2 linked regions of the Rattus norvegicus genome follow. The protein of the gene in region 2 interacts with the protein of the main gene of each other region in a biochemical or structural test. Links are inferred from orthologs where the notes say so. Each region holds a gene or a part of one and is shown on either strand. Other genes may lie near its edges.

Region 1 (7,905 bases), on a different chromosome or scaffold from region 2:
AAGTATAATTTTAACGGCCCAGCTCTTGAACATTCTTTAATAGGTTCTGGGATGCAAGTATTATGGTGGTGTGGGAGAGTGACTGTAGGCAGATCGCCGTGAGTTCAAAACCATGCTGAACTGCAGAGCAGGTCCCCATTCCCTGTCAAAGATTCTGTTACAAAACTACGGTGAGCATGCTGATGCCACAGAAAAAGGGATTTACAGTGCTCTGAGCTGCAAGCCAAGCCAGGGTTGTTCTCCTGGGAGACAGTTTTCATCTGAAAGGCAAACTACAGTCAAGAGAATGTATTCCTTCCATACTCTCTCCTCAAGGAATGAGGGAAGTCTACCGCACTTCAAGGAAAATGTTGTCACCAATGAGGAATTCAGAAACGGGAAAAAGTTTAGAATCGTGGAACACTCACCTGTAATAGTTAGCATGACATTAATTTGAATTTTTATCTTACATTATTTATACTTGGCCTTTTCTTTTTTGGTTTGTTTGTTTAAGACAGGGTCTCTCTACATAGCCCTGGTTAGCCTTGAACTCGAGAGCTCTGCCTGCCTCTGCCTGGGACTAAAGGTGTGCACCCCCAAGCCCACTACACTTTTTCCCCCCACAGGGTCCCTTCTACATAGCCCTGGCTGTCCTGGAACTTGCTCTGTAGATCAGATTGGCCTTGAACTCACACAATGATCACCTTGAACTTGATGTTTCCTTGGTATCTTTGCTCCCATTCTGAAGGTGATACAAGTGAGTCCACCTGAACAGTCTATGTTTTCAAAGTAACCCAGGTTCAGACAGTCTGGGATTCTAGAGCTGCACATTATAGTCGCATGGAGAAATCAGTCTGAGAGAAATCTCCAGCAGAGGGCCTGCCCATCATACCAAAGGCATTGTTACCTAGAGGATCGAAGGGGAAGAACTTTTCTATTTCTGGGTAGGCATCATCAGGAGCAGGAGCAGAGCCTTGTGTCTTAGTAGACTTCTCGGTGATCTAGAAAAACCAAAGAGAATAAGCACTGTGAGAACGGAAGTCTTGCCCACCTGCATGGTAGCATGAGATTGGGCAGCCTCTTCAAATGCTGACGTCACTATTTAGAATTTGTCAATTCAGTGCTGTCTTCTAAGAAGTCACAGTACTTAGTTTTCAGGATTCAGTGTAAATGTAAGGAGAGAACTGACTCCTGGAAGTTGTCCTCAGACTCTGACACACATGCCATCACATGTGCCAGCCCTGCCCTACGCGCACGCGCGCGCACACGCACACGCACGCGCACACGCACGCGCACACACACGCGCACACACACACACACACACACACACACACACACACACACACACTGGAAAGATGGCTCTGTGGTTCAAAGCACTTGCTGTTCTTACAGAAGACCAAGGTTCAATTCCCAGCACCCACAGGGTGGCTCACAACTATCTTTAACTCCAGTCTAAAGGAAACAATGTCTCATGTCCTCCTCAGGGATGGTACACGTACATACTGTGATGCTTTGTATATGCTTGGCTCAGGGAAGGATGCTATTAGGAGGTGTGGCCTCATCATTGGAATACGTGTGTTACAATGGACGTGGGCTTTTAATACCCTTGTCCTAGCTGCCTGGAAGCCAGTCTTCTCCTAGCCACCTTCGACAAAGATGTAGAACTCTCAGCTCCTCCTGCACCATACCTATCTGTACACTTACTACCATGCTTCCTGCATTGATAATGAACTGAAGCTCTGAACCTGTAAGCCAGCCCCAATTAAATGTTGTTACATTTACTGTTCACAGCAGTAAAACCCTAACCAATACAATAGCATACAGACAAATATCCAAACGCATAAATTAAAAGTACTCCTATTGGGGCTGGGGATTTAGCTCAGTGGTAGAGCGCTTACCTAGGAAGCGCAAGGCCCTGGGTTCGGTCCCCAGCTCCGGAAAAAAAAGAACCAAAAAAAAAAAAAAAAAAAAAAAAAAAAAAAGTACTCCTATTAAAGTCACGACATCTTAGCACCTGTCAACAGATATCACTAAGAATAATGAGCAGGGTTAATTCAAAGTTAATCAACTCAACTGTTCAAACCTAACAGTGAGCAAAACAGGCTTGAGGCACCCCCAGAATAGTCGCTAATCCTGGAAGTCACTTTTACCTTATAAAAGTGTGATTTTTCTGCCACTGTTACCTTAATTACTTTGTTAATATCAACAAGTTCGTGTTCCTTAAGCAGATGGAATTAAGAAGCAGCAGAAACATCCGATCTTATCCACTCTATGTGTATACCAAAGTAGGGAGGAGGGTGTGTAGTTCAGGCTAGCCTCCAACCAGCCTCTCCTCCAGCTTCAGCCTCCCAAGTGCTGGGATTGCAGGTGCCTATCACACCCAGTTAAATACTTCACACGTTTGCTTCAGGCCTCCCAGCCAACTGCTTCCTGGCACTAGCTAAGAACAGCTGAAGCAGAAGAATCAGCATTAGCTACTGTCCCCGAGAGCTGCAATCTCAGGGTGCTGAGAAGTAGCACAGCCTGACGCTTCTGCATTTCTGGACCTCTATTTACCTCGGACTCAGAGGAAGAAAGGCAGGGGGAAGTCCGCTTTTAAGCACTCGAGTGCTACAGCGGGGCTTAGGGATGGCTCGGTGGTTAGCACTTGCCACTCTGCTCTTCCGAAGGAGCCAGACTCAGTTCCCAGCACCCACGTAAGGCAGCTCACACCTGCTGCAACTCCTTTTCCTAAGAACCCAGCGCCCTCTTCCGGCCTCCTTGGGTGCCTTGCACACATGTAGTCTGCTTGTACGCAGATACATATACATGAATAAAAACAATAAACTTTTTTTTTTATAAAGCGCCAACACATGTGCAAGTATTCGCAGCCCTCGCTCACCTTTTTCACACTCAGAGTCGGCTGTTTCGATTGCAGGGGTTTACTACTCTTCACTGGCTTTTCAGTAACTCTGTTGACAGTTCCCAGAGCCTTCCTGCTGGCTTTAGGCAAGCCTGGGGCACCGAACACTTTGCCGACTCGTGGCGTTGAAACCTGCAATTTCCCATCTAAGGCTTTGACTGTTGAAAAAAAAAGGACAATCATAAAAGTATAACATACTCAGTGGGTAGAGGGCTTTCGGCCATACCGGACAACCTGAATTCAACCCCCAAAACCCACATAGCATAAGGAGAATGGACTCCCACAGGTTGCCCTCTGATCTCCACAGACACACCATGGCATGTGTGCACTCCCCCCCCCCCATACACAAATAAAGGTAATAAATACATTGTTCTTCAAGGTCAGGCCATGTAAACACCTCATCAACTTAATTCTCACCCACAAACCTGTGCTTCATTTTGGGCAGTGACTTAGAACCCTTCAATAAACTCATTAAGGCAATAAGCATGAAGCCAGGCACCGTAGCAACACACATTTAATCCCATCACTTTGGAGGCCGGGATAAGTGGATCTCTGAGTTCAAGGCCAGCCTGATCTGTATAGCAAATTCCAGGTCAATTAAAGCTATGTAGGGGAGCCCCATCTCAAAAAATGATTTAAGCATAGTGCCTGGGGATGTGACCATTAGGGAGAGTGATTGCCTAACATTTGAGAAGCTCCAAGTTCCATCCCCTACAGCGCATAAGCTGGGCACAGTGGCCCCTGCCTCTAATCAGTGCCCTGGGCTGGGGGGGAGTCAAAAGGATCAGAAGTCCAAGACCATCCTAGGGTTACATAGGGAACTAGAGACCAAGTCTGAGCTACATGACACTGTATTCTAAAAAGAAAGATAATAAGCGTGAAAATATATCAAACCTGACTCCGGTCAACCACAAAAGTACACTAAATACTAGGGGCCATAATCCATTCACGACACCTGTGTATCTCAAGGCAGCTGATACTTACCACCAGAGCCCAGCTTCAATCCATCCTTAGATGCCAAACGGCTGCCTGGCTCTTCGTTATCCTTATCAACAAAGATCAGAGTAGCCATCCTGGATTACTGAGGGGAGAGACCTGCATATTATAAAACTGGCATTGAGGAAGACTGGAAGAACTAAGCAGCAACAGAGACCAGAGCACCTATGCACAAAAATTTAGAAGTAGCTGGAGAAGTCAACAGGCTTAATCCAGACCTTAAATCTTCACGCCAGGGTCATAAACGCTAAACTACAGAAATCGTTTGTTGATGTTGGCACCCAAACAACTGTCTCCAGCCTACCAGCTCAGCGATAGGAAGGAGAAGCCAAGAGGATCAGATGCTCAAGGTTGGCCTCAGCTACATAACAATTCAAGACCAGTCTGGGTTGCTTGAGACCCTGAAGTGTGTGGGAAGGGAAGAAAGAAAATGAAAACAGCGTCGCTTTGGGTCAAGCACGCCAAGAGCGCCCCGGGACGCCGGGCCCAGTGAAGCACAAGTCCCGACCCTGCTCCAGCCTCCAGTCCCGGGTCTTCCTGCCCCGCCACCCCGAGTTCGCCCAAGACATCTTTGGCAACGACACACTCGCAGCTAAAACTCACCCAAGACTACGCCACCAACGACCCGGCGCACCGCAGTTTGAATTCCAACTCGCGCTTCAATTGGTCCATCCGATGGGAGGCGGGGCCTAGTGTCTGAGAACCAATGAGAGCAACGGAAGTTTTCAACCACCGCCCCCTCCCGGAAAAAAAAAAAAGAGTAGTAGTAGAGACCAACATAAACACAAACACTTAATTAAAGAAGCCCAGAGGCTTAATCCAGACCTTAAATCTTCAAGTCAAAGTCAGAGGCACCAATCTACTGAGATGGTTTGGGTCGGCCCCCATCAAAACCTGAGACTGGAAAGAGCACTTGCTCTCGAAGAGGACCCTGACTGTCCTGGAAATCACTATGCAGACCAGACTGACCTAGAACTTAACACATCTACCTGCCTTTGCCTCTTAAGTAGTAGTTAATTTCTTATTTTTAGAAACTGGGAAACTCGACAGGTTTGGAAACAAAGAATGGACATTTGAGAAGCCAGGCCTTCCCGTTGAAATCGGCATTGTTAATAACCCTTTCTGCTATGTGTGTGATTACGTTTAATTAGCTTAAAAGTTCCTTAGTCTCCTGAAAACATTCTAAAGTTCCACGATTGACAGTGGGATACTTGAGCTAGGATTTTCGCCCATCCCCCTCCTGCTGGGCAGAATCTTTCTAAAATGGTCGTGACAGTTTGTGAAGTCCTCAGCTCTATGGAGCCACAAGAGATGCTGATGTGTAAGTGGTGAGCGGTAGATCAAGAAAGCTTTCTATTAGGAATAAGATAGCAAAATTTCACAGCCCTAGTCAAATCCTGCATCTCCTTCTCTGTGACTCTTCCTCAGTCTAGACACAAACGGACGCCGTTGTTTATTCAATACCAACAGATCCCGTTTAGCTTCGGGATCTTCCCATAATCCTATCCAAAGAGGTCCTTCAAAATGAAGAAGCTGGGCGTGGTGACACACACCTTTAATCTCAGCACTTGGGAGACTGAGGCAAAAGAAGGTCTGTGAGTTTGTTGAGGTCAGCCCGGTTTCCATATTGAGTTCATGAAGCTATACAAGACCACATAGGGAATATCTGCAAAAGAAAAGAAAGGAAATATTCAAAGAGAAGTGGTGGATATAAATCTTGGTTTTGTGAAGTGATGAAGGCAAACATTTTGGTACTGATAAAATTTAAGGAACTTACACTTATTTTGAAAAGTTTCATATATATATGTGTGTGTGTATATATATATATATATATATATATATATATATATATATATAGAGAGAGAGAGAGAGAGAGAGAGAGAGAGAGAGATAGCTTACCTAGAAGAGTGTAAATCCAGTGATGTGGTAGACAGGAGGACCAGGTCATTCTGTGCCACATAGCAACTTCAAGGCCAGCCTGAGAGAGCAAAGATAGGAGAGGGGAGGGGACATGATCTTTAACTCTAAGAAAGGAATTATGATCTGACTTATGTCAAAACACACTTTTTTCCAGAGATACTTTTTGGGCATGATGTTCTTAAGTAGTCTTTTGAGGGCTGAGTATGTAGCTGGGTAGCCGTGTCTGCCTAACATAAGAAAGGCCCTAACCAGGGTGCGGGGAAGTGGGGAGAGATATTTAGAAACTCAAAGCAAGAAAGTGGCAAAACTATTTTCCTAACGTCCACTAAAATACTGTTCACCCAGAGAATAAAGGAATCAAATCTAAATTTAAAAGGAGAAAAAACAACTGAGGAATGGTTTTGTAGCCGTCAGTCTACAACCAAGAGAAAGCAAGCTTGTGATTGTCTAATCAAATTTCAACTGAAAAAGGGGTTGAGGGGAACACTTATAAAGTGAGATAGGAAAACAGTCACTAGCAGTAGAATAGGATCCAAAAAAAGTAATCTGGGTAAATGCGAGGACAGTTTGATGTGTGCGAGTAATTCCTTTACCATTGTGGTTGAGAGCTATTCCCTACACAGGGCTACCCTCGGCACACCAGACTGGGATCTGTCTTACTCTACTTCCTCAAATCTGTTTGTGAGCAAAGTGATGTTCCTAATAAATATGTAACTCTAGGAGTTGAATAGAAACAACACATTCAGGCATGATGGACGCATGGATGTATGAACACGTGGACACACACACACACACACACATACACACACACCACTTATACCTTTACTGTCCCATCTATTTCCTGTTCCTTTTATCCCTTCAACCTGTTATTTTCTCTCTGCATCTATTTCTGAATTGCAGTTTCTTCATATTAAATCACCAGCACATAGAAGTCTCGCTTTCAAAAATAAATCTGTATACACTCCCACAGCTTCCATATGAACATTGTCTAATTCCTTGAGAGGTTTTCTTCCCCTCTCACCAACAGGAAACATTGCTTTTCCCCAGGTCCACTGCAAGTGTAAATTCTATCACCACCCTGTCTTTAAAAGTCCATGGTTTTCTTAGTGATGGTATCCCTAGGCCAACTTTGTGATTCCCCGCTTGTTACTGGGGAATAATGTATCTGGTTGGTAAACCCATGTATAATATGGAGTCCTCAGCTAATACAAGTCTCTCCTAATCTAGCTTTACAAAAAAGCATTCATCCAAAGATGCTCTCTTCTTGAGAACTCAAGCCTTGGAAAAATTCCTCCTTTCTTGCCCTCTGAACAAGTCAGCTGACTTCTGCTCTTCCTTTACCTGCCTTGAAAAAACTCAAAGTCTTACATTCCTAACTCCAGGCCCTTCAAGTTCTTAAAAAAAACAAAAAACAATTAACTACTTTGGGCTCTTTGAGGTGGGAATGTTGATTATAGTCCTGTTTATTTGAAGAGCAGTTCATGTAGGGGAAGTATAAATAACCACAAGACAGCATGAGGAAAAATTTCCAAGCAATGGCTCGGTAGTCAAAACAGCTCGTTCTTGCAGGGGTTGGGTACTCGTGCTGGTTCACAGTCTTATATCTGTATTTCAAGTCACAGACGATCTGATGCCGATGATGTGCAAACTTACACACATAAAACAAAACATGAATCCTTTTTAAAAGGAAAAAACCCCAACCAAATCAACTATTTTCCAGTAGTTTGTTTGTTTAATATTTTCCCTTTTATGTTTTGTCTTTTAACTTTTTGTTTGTTTGAGAAAGGGTCTTACTATGTCACTGGCCGGGAATTCAAAGATACGCCTATCTTGGGGCTGGGGATTTAGCTCAGTGGTAGAGCGCTTACCTAGGAAGCGTAAGGCCCTGGGTTCAGTCCCCAGCTCCGAAAAAAAGAACCAAAAAAAAAAAAAAAAAAAAAAAAAAAGATCTATCTCTGCTAGGATTAAAGCTGTGTGTGCCATTGCGGCGACCCTTGGGGCTTTTTACAGTAAACATTTTTGCTAAGATTCTGCAGTTCCAGAAAGAACAACGGTTCCTTGCGCGGAGCTCAAAACTGCACTGCCATCACTTCTCCGCAAGGTGTACA
Region 2 (7,209 bases):
AAACCTGTTTGTATTCATGGGGCCTAACAAAATACACGAAAGGATGAGCTAATATGCTTTAATTTGTTCTTTAGGTGTTAGGCAGGGAACAGGTAGGGGCTGGGCACAGGAACATGGGGACAGAAGGTACCCTAGCTGTCCATCCAGGGGTTGCACAGGCATGAATGCTGCAGGTCAGAGCCTGGAAGGGGAACATCAGTTGCAGTTCTTAGGCAGGCGGTAGACACCTGCAGAGTAGATGAGCTGCTGGTCTCGGACCTTCTTCTGCAAGTAGCCCTGTAGTTCCTGCAGGTCAATCTCAGCCAGTGCAGGGCCAGTCATTACAAACATTCGGAGCATGCTGTAGATGCGCTCCAGAGAGAGGCTCTCTAGGTTGGTCAACATGGCCTGGATGTATGTCCAAAAGAGCTAGGAACAGAAGCCAGACCTGGTTAGTTGGCCACTTACCTGGCCCACCCCAGCCCAATGTGGAAATGGCCAACATACCAGTAGCTCCTCTTCCTTCTGGTCAGCCTGGGAGGCCATGCCCGAGTCACTTTCATCATCACTGTCAATCAGCACCATGTTGTCCCTATCCTGAGGCCGCTCTTCCTCAATGACAGAGAAAGTGCCGGGAGGCTCCTCCCGCAGCACACCCTGCTGCAGCCACACTGACATGCGTCTTCGTAGGAGTGCCACGGGCATCTTCACCACCTTGCTCAGCTCCTCCAAGGTCCAGCTGGCTGTGTGCAGAGTCACAGAATGCAGGGTACCCTGGAGATATGCCTGCTCCAATAGCTGTTAGCCAGTTGGACCCCCAGATGCATGTGCATTGTCCTGTAACTGTTACTCACAGGTAAAAAGAATGGTTGCTACCTCTAAATTCTGGAGGGGGTGGGGGTCAGTATGTCACCTTACAGCTTATCAGACAGCAGTGTCTAGCACTAGCCCCAAGGTAGTGTGCTCAAGGCAGACCAGATGGGGTTCTAGGGACTCACCTTGGTCCTGGAAATACAGCAAAACCACTGCCTGCACTGGGGTGACCGCAACAGACAGGGTGCGGTCAGCCAGCTCCACGTCCATCGTCACCAGGCCCAGGGTATGCTTCCAACTGAGTGTCCGCATAGCCTGGGCAGGAATCATCAAGAACAGTCCAGTGGGTTCCAGGCAGGTCCAGATGAACAAGGCATAGGTTCTATACCAGGCTACCCAGCAAGGAATGGCTCTTGCACCAATGACCTGTACCAGGGCCATCCCTGGCAGGCATGTAGTCAGCAGCCAGACCAGGAGACCTGGTTCCAGTCTCCAGTTCTGGAACAACCATGATATAACAATGAACACTGATGATAAGTTGTGTCCCTCTCATGTCTCAGTACCTCGGACCATGAGCTATTTATTTGCAAAGAGAGTTAGTGTAGATGTAATTAAAAAGAGGTCACAGTGAAGTAGGGTAGGTCTTAAAGCACAGCAGAGAGCGGTTATGAAAGGCATACACATGCTGATGTACCAAAAGCTGGGCAAGTTTCCTAGAGGCATCAAGAGGAGCACGGGCCTGCCCACCCTGACACTGGACTTCTACTTCCCACAACTAAAACAATACTTTTCTCATGTTTAATACCACTCGGCCTGTGACATTTTGTTAAAGAAGTCATAATAAATGAAGATTCTGCTGTATGGATGATGCATGCCTTTAATCCCAGCACTTGTGAGGCAGAGGTAGGAGGATCTCTGTTAAGTTTGAGGCCAGCCTGGTCTACAAAGTTAGTTCCAGGACAGCCATGGCTATACAGAGAAGCCCTGTCTCAAAAAAAAAAAAAAATGTTCTAGAGAGGGAGGGAAACTGCTATAATTGTTTGTACATTGGGGAAACACATGAAAGTTAAAGCCTAGATCTGTTACAGCCAATGGGCTGTAACGATATGGCAGGTGAGATGATGCTGGTGAAGGTTCAGAAGAGAGAGTTACTGCACAGACTGTGGAGAATAATGTTGGTAGAGATGAGGACATTAAGAGGACCTTCTGGTGAGAGCGCAGATCGAAGTGAGGAACAAACTAGACGCTGGGGGAAGCTGGCAGAAAACCACCAGGCTGTGGCCAGACGTTCGCTGAGATGAGTGTGACTTGTGACTTGTAGATCCACTAGAACACACAGCATGGCCAGGAAGATACCGCTTCCCTTTCTTTTTTTTTTTTTTTTTTGAGCGGGGGACCGAACCCAGGACCTTGCGGTTGCTAGGCAAGCGCTCTACCACTGAGCTAAATCCCCAACCCACCGCTTCCCTTTCTTTTCCTGTTTTTAAAGACAGGACCTTACTCTGTAGCCCTAGTTGCCTTGAAACTTGCTATGTACAGCAAGCTAGCTTCAAACTAGGATGCTGCTGCTGTGCTCACCTTCCAAGGCTGGGAGGACAGGCGTCACCAGCTCAGGACCACGCCGTTACTTGATAAATTGGATACTGCACATTTCATGGAAAGCACCAAGGTTTTGAATGTTATGCCAGCAGCAGTGCTGACCGTGAATGAAGTGACAGCAGCACGGGAGAGTACACACGGGGCTGCAAGGCAAGCCAGGTGCCAAAGCCTGAGCCAGACTGTGAACTCTGCCTGCTGGGTTTCAGATTTGCTTTCGGCTCATGATCCTTCTAGGTTCCTTTGGGAATGCCCATTTCTGACCTAGGCTTGTTTGAACAATGGACTCTGATCAAAACAATGTCACAGCGTCAAGCTGGACACGAAACCTGCTGTCCTACTACTTTAGTCTCCTGAGTGCTAGGATCATAGACATGTGCTGCCCCCCTGGACTAGAAGAGACTTTAAGAACTGATGCTGAAGTGGTTAGCATCAGTTGGGATGCTACTTGGGAGATACTGGTATTGGCTAATTTGCTCCTGGGAAGAGTAGTAATTTTAGAAACTACAGACTGCCATGGGTCAAACTGTATCTCTTCAAAGAGACAGTAGTAAAGCTCAGGACACTGACTGTCCAGTGACACTGTAAGTCCTATCTCCAAATGTGGCCTTATTTGGAAACAGAGTCATTAAATAAGTAATCTGCTAAAATAAGGTTGTCCTGCAGTAGAATTGGTCCTTAATCTGATTATAAATGGTATCCTAAGAAGAGAGGAACAGACAGAGAAAACCTGGACATAAAGACATGTATTTACCACCTGGGCAAGGGTGGTGCACACCTTTAATCCCAGCACTCGGGAGGCAGAGGCAGGCGGATCTCTGAGTTGGCGGCCAGCCTGGTCTACAGAGTAAGTTCCAGGACAGCCAGGATTATACAAAGAAACCCTATCTCGAAAAACAAAATCAAAACAAACAAACAAAAAGTCCATTTACTTAGGTCTGCTAGGGCTCCTGCGAGAGGCAGGAAAAATGGTTTCCCTAGAGCATCCTGGGGCATCACAACTCAGCAATACAGCTCTAATCTGGCAAACCTGTGTCTGCAGTATGTCATAAGGACACCCAGGACACTGGTACCTCTGACCTAGTGGCAAAACTGATGGCCTGAGACCCTCTGGGACCCCTGTAGCTCTTAACGGAGAAGTATACCAATAAACTCACTCTACAGATAGAGAAACAGGCAGTATCAATGGCTTCCCCTGGTTTCATCCAGTTTAGCTATCCTAACACTGGTTCTAAAGCCATGACCTGAAAAAGGGTCACAATACATCACAATATATGGGCTGCATAGTCAGTCACCCACAAACCCAGCCAGATCCTTTAGGAACTTGGCTGGTGAAAGATAACTTTATTGTGGCCACAGGCTTGCCCTCTTAGCACAGCCCTAGGGTTTACCAGAGCCATTCTAGTACCACCAAAAATTGAGTCACACTAGTGTATGGCCATCCTAACTCTTTGGATCTGATCAACAAGACGCATCTAAGTCATGTCTAGGACCCAGGGCAAAAACTTAGCAAAGCCAACGAGGACCTCATACCAAAATAGGTCAGAGGAACAGTAGGAGAGGACACTGAGTACACAGGACTGGCCAGGAAGTGGTAGGGCTGTGGTACTCAACCAAAACAGGACATACTGGTGACCAGTAACCACACTTTCACCTGGTGTCAGTAAAGGCCAAAGACCATATTTAGACTCTTTCAGAAACTCAGCCAGGTAGCAAGGTTCTCACGGCTACTGACACAGACACTCCCCTTCTTTAATTTCTCCAGTCAGGGCCTCTGACTGGATTTTGTTGCCCCTCAAGTACTCAAAGGGATCATCCAGGGGCACAGATCCTTAGCATGAAGCCACGTAAGGTCTTCTGATCCCAGGAAGAAGCACGAGCCTCAGCACTATGCTCATCAGGAACAAGATGCTGCAGATGCCCCCATGGCACGCCTGCCTGAGGCGTCAGTGTCCAGCCTGACCCGACAAGGCTGGCCCCACATTTATGTATGACCCAGAGTAGGACGCTTGCCCCACCTGCGTTAGACTCTTGCCTCCCATGTCATAACTGACACCAGCTCAGGAAGGATCCTTGAATTTGGCCATACCACTCCCTGAACTCTAACCTCTACACCATTAGGGCTCAGCTGTGCTACCTGGACATGGGCTAATTCTATGTGGGGTCTGATGGTCTGATCAGAGACACAAACTACCCAGAGGCCTACTGGCTGTACCTTCAGTTTCTCATACTTCTTGCAGTAAACATCCAGGGCTGCCCTGATGTCCTCAGGGACCTCCAGCTTCTCATCTTTGAAGGGAGGCCAAAATTCACTGGACAATATGACGGCATAGACCCCAAATGGTGGCTGTTCTTCCACAGGCCGCTTCTCATCCTCCTCACGGATATTGGCATTGATGCGGCGGGAATCTGCCATGTCCTAAGAAAGGATACCTCATCAACGGCCTGGGCTTAATGGTGATGGTAGGCACAACTCTCGGGGCAGTCCTGGGTATTTACCTTGAGCATGACCTCACAGAAGTGCATGGGGGCTTCTCCAAAGCGCAGCTTCAACAGCTCCACATTACGAATCTCCCTGCAAGGACAAGTTTCTGTGAGGGGCTGCAATGTGACTCCATTTCAACTGATACCCTAAGCAGACAGCTGGACCAGACAACCCACCTGCTCAGGAAACACTGGGCTGAAGGGAAAGCAGGAAGCAAAAGACTAGGGCCAAAGTTTGGTCATTCTGGCTGTTGAGGTTTGGTCTTTGTTATGTATTGTAATGATAATTACTGCCCCCACCCACCCACCCAAAGTCTGGTTGTCTCAGGGATGAGGAGATCCTCATGTACACCAAGTGATGATATGTGTAGCCTTGCTCCTTAATTTAAAACTATTAAAAGATGCTACAGTCTATAGCTGGGCAGAAGAGAGGTAGACAAGGTTGCGGTTCCTTGGCTTGGGGTATGAGGCAGGACAGCGAGGAAGAAAGAGAAAAGCAGTTGGAGAGAAGATACCATGGCTGTGAGAGCTGGCCAATAGTTGAGTGTCCCAGATGAAACACAACAAGTTTAACTCAGAATTATTAATAAGAAAGTAGACATAATAGCTTACAGAGTTGATATCTGCCCAGCTCTAGTGTTTTAGATAGATAAAATCTCTTTTATCTGGGAACAGAAGAACTGAATGATATAAGACTGGGTAGAAAGCCCCAATAGAGATTAATTATTCCTACAACTCTTGGCCAATAGGGGCAGTCAATATTAGTCATGTGCTTTCCTCCAAGTGAAGGCTTAGGCCTCAGCACCCCCTGGAGGTCAACCAGTTCCTTGCCTTACCTCTCCGGACTGAAGCTGAACTGGTGGAGGAGGCGATCGGCCAGGAGGGAGCGGTACTCATTGATAAACAGGTCTTTGCTGCCATAGATGCTGACCAGCAGGCTGATGATGTCTGAAGAGCGTCGCTTGGAACTTGACTTTGCTGCACAGTACAGAGGAGCTAATGTGTACCACTGCACTTTGACAAGGAAAGTGACACCTCAGAGTTCACCTGCTGGATACAGCAGTCTTGCACGGCCCGGGGCGGGGGGGGGGGGGGGGCTTGCTCTAAATGCCCCAGGCAGCTGGGGTTAATGTCTCCCAGCAGAGCTGGGGTTGGTTCCTAAGGCAACTGTTCTGATAAACAGTGCCTCCTGTTTCACAAGGATCCTCAGTCAGCCATAAGGAAGAGAACAAAGGTTTTCCTCTAAAAGGTTGAAGATGCTGTGTTCATGCTAAGACCTCAGCAGGACAAAGAATCCACAGCCCATGATAACCCAGCAGAGTATGGTCAAGCAAAAGATGGGACCTGGGCAGAGAATCCCACCTTAATACATGAGAATCAGGATCAAATCACAGCAGAGTGGGGTATGCAGACTTCCTATGAACCTGGTCTCTCAGGTATAACCCACAAAGGCACCTTCTATAGCTAGCTAAGGTAGCCAGTGAGGTACATATAACAAACCAGCTAGTGTTACGCATGGCCCTGACCTCTCACACACGCACCCCAAGTTTGAGGCAATGGCTGCCTCTGATATAATCAGGGTTGGGTAGCAACATCCATAACCAGAACCCAAGAGACCACTGAAGAAACCCAGGAAAAGGCCGGGTGAGGCCAATAGGCACTGACCTGGATCAGCATCCACAGGGTCAGGGACCCAGTCCTCGGGCTCGCCAGAGTCATCCTCACTGTCCTGGCCGGTCTCCAGGCAGGCCGGGTCAGTCTTAGACAGCTCAACAGCCAAGTCCCCAGTCCCATCCGAGTCCCCGGTTAGCCCAGCCACAATCTGCCGTACTGTGTCCTCCCGTGTCCTGCCAGGATTGAATGCTGCTGTCCCAACAATGTGCATGGGCATCATGACATCTGCTACAGCCCATGCTAATGTGGCCGGTGCCAACTAGCAAGTGCTAAAAGCATGCCCATCCCGAGTCATAAAAATAAAAGTACTACTCCGAAAAAGCAGGGGTTGAGCTACCAAGAAGGGCTTAAGGACCAGCTTTGCCAAGGAACCCACCAGAGCACTCTTTATACATACATATACACACAGCGCAACTCTGTATAGTGGGGCGGACAACCACCTTAACACTAGCAAAAGGAAAAGGGCGGGGGCCCTACCCTGAGCCAATCCAGCCCTACCCAGGCAGAGCCTCATCTGTTTGACACTCAGGACTGACTGTTGCTCTGGTTCTGCAAACACCAGCAGTCAGCACAAAGTGCCAAATGCCAGTGGCACTCACCTCAGGTAGCGACGGATGGGCTCACAGGCCACCTCCAGGATGACCATAGAGGGATCTAGCACAC

The links. The genes of interacting proteins can lie anywhere in the genome.
Region 1: the proteins of Anapc2 (region 2) and Pttg1 form a complex in vitro, tested with the Homo sapiens proteins (2 studies listed by BioGRID, with this or other methods). The link is inferred for Rattus norvegicus from reciprocal best matches to the Homo sapiens genes ANAPC2 and PTTG1.

The regions. Positions count from the first base shown.
Region 1 is NC_086028.1:28,401,834-28,409,738, forward strand, and holds the start of Pttg1 (securin), read right to left. Parts: upstream 4,494-7,905; 5' UTR 4,481-4,493; exon of another isoform or gene 4,096-4,480; intron 4,044-4,095; exon of another isoform or gene 3,977-4,043; 5' UTR 3,954-3,976; coding exon 3,866-3,953; intron 3,040-3,865; coding exon 2,861-3,039; intron 981-2,860; coding exon 887-980; intron 1-886. UniProt on the Homo sapiens protein: Regulatory protein, which plays a central role in chromosome stability, in the p53/TP53 pathway, and DNA repair. Probably acts by blocking the action of key proteins.
Region 2 is NC_086021.1:28,489,174-28,496,382, reverse strand, and holds the end of Anapc2 (anaphase-promoting complex subunit 2), read right to left. Parts: coding exon 7,146-7,209; intron 6,720-7,145; coding exon 6,538-6,719; intron 5,851-6,537; coding exon 5,709-5,850; intron 4,964-5,708; coding exon 4,888-4,963; intron 4,808-4,887; coding exon 4,604-4,807; intron 1,108-4,603; coding exon 978-1,107; intron 823-977; coding exon of another isoform or gene 723-822; coding exon 487-722; intron 409-486; coding exon 196-408; 3' UTR 45-195; downstream 1-44. UniProt on the Homo sapiens protein: Together with the RING-H2 protein ANAPC11, constitutes the catalytic component of the anaphase promoting complex/cyclosome (APC/C), a cell cycle-regulated E3 ubiquitin ligase that controls progression through mitosis and the G1 phase of the cell cycle.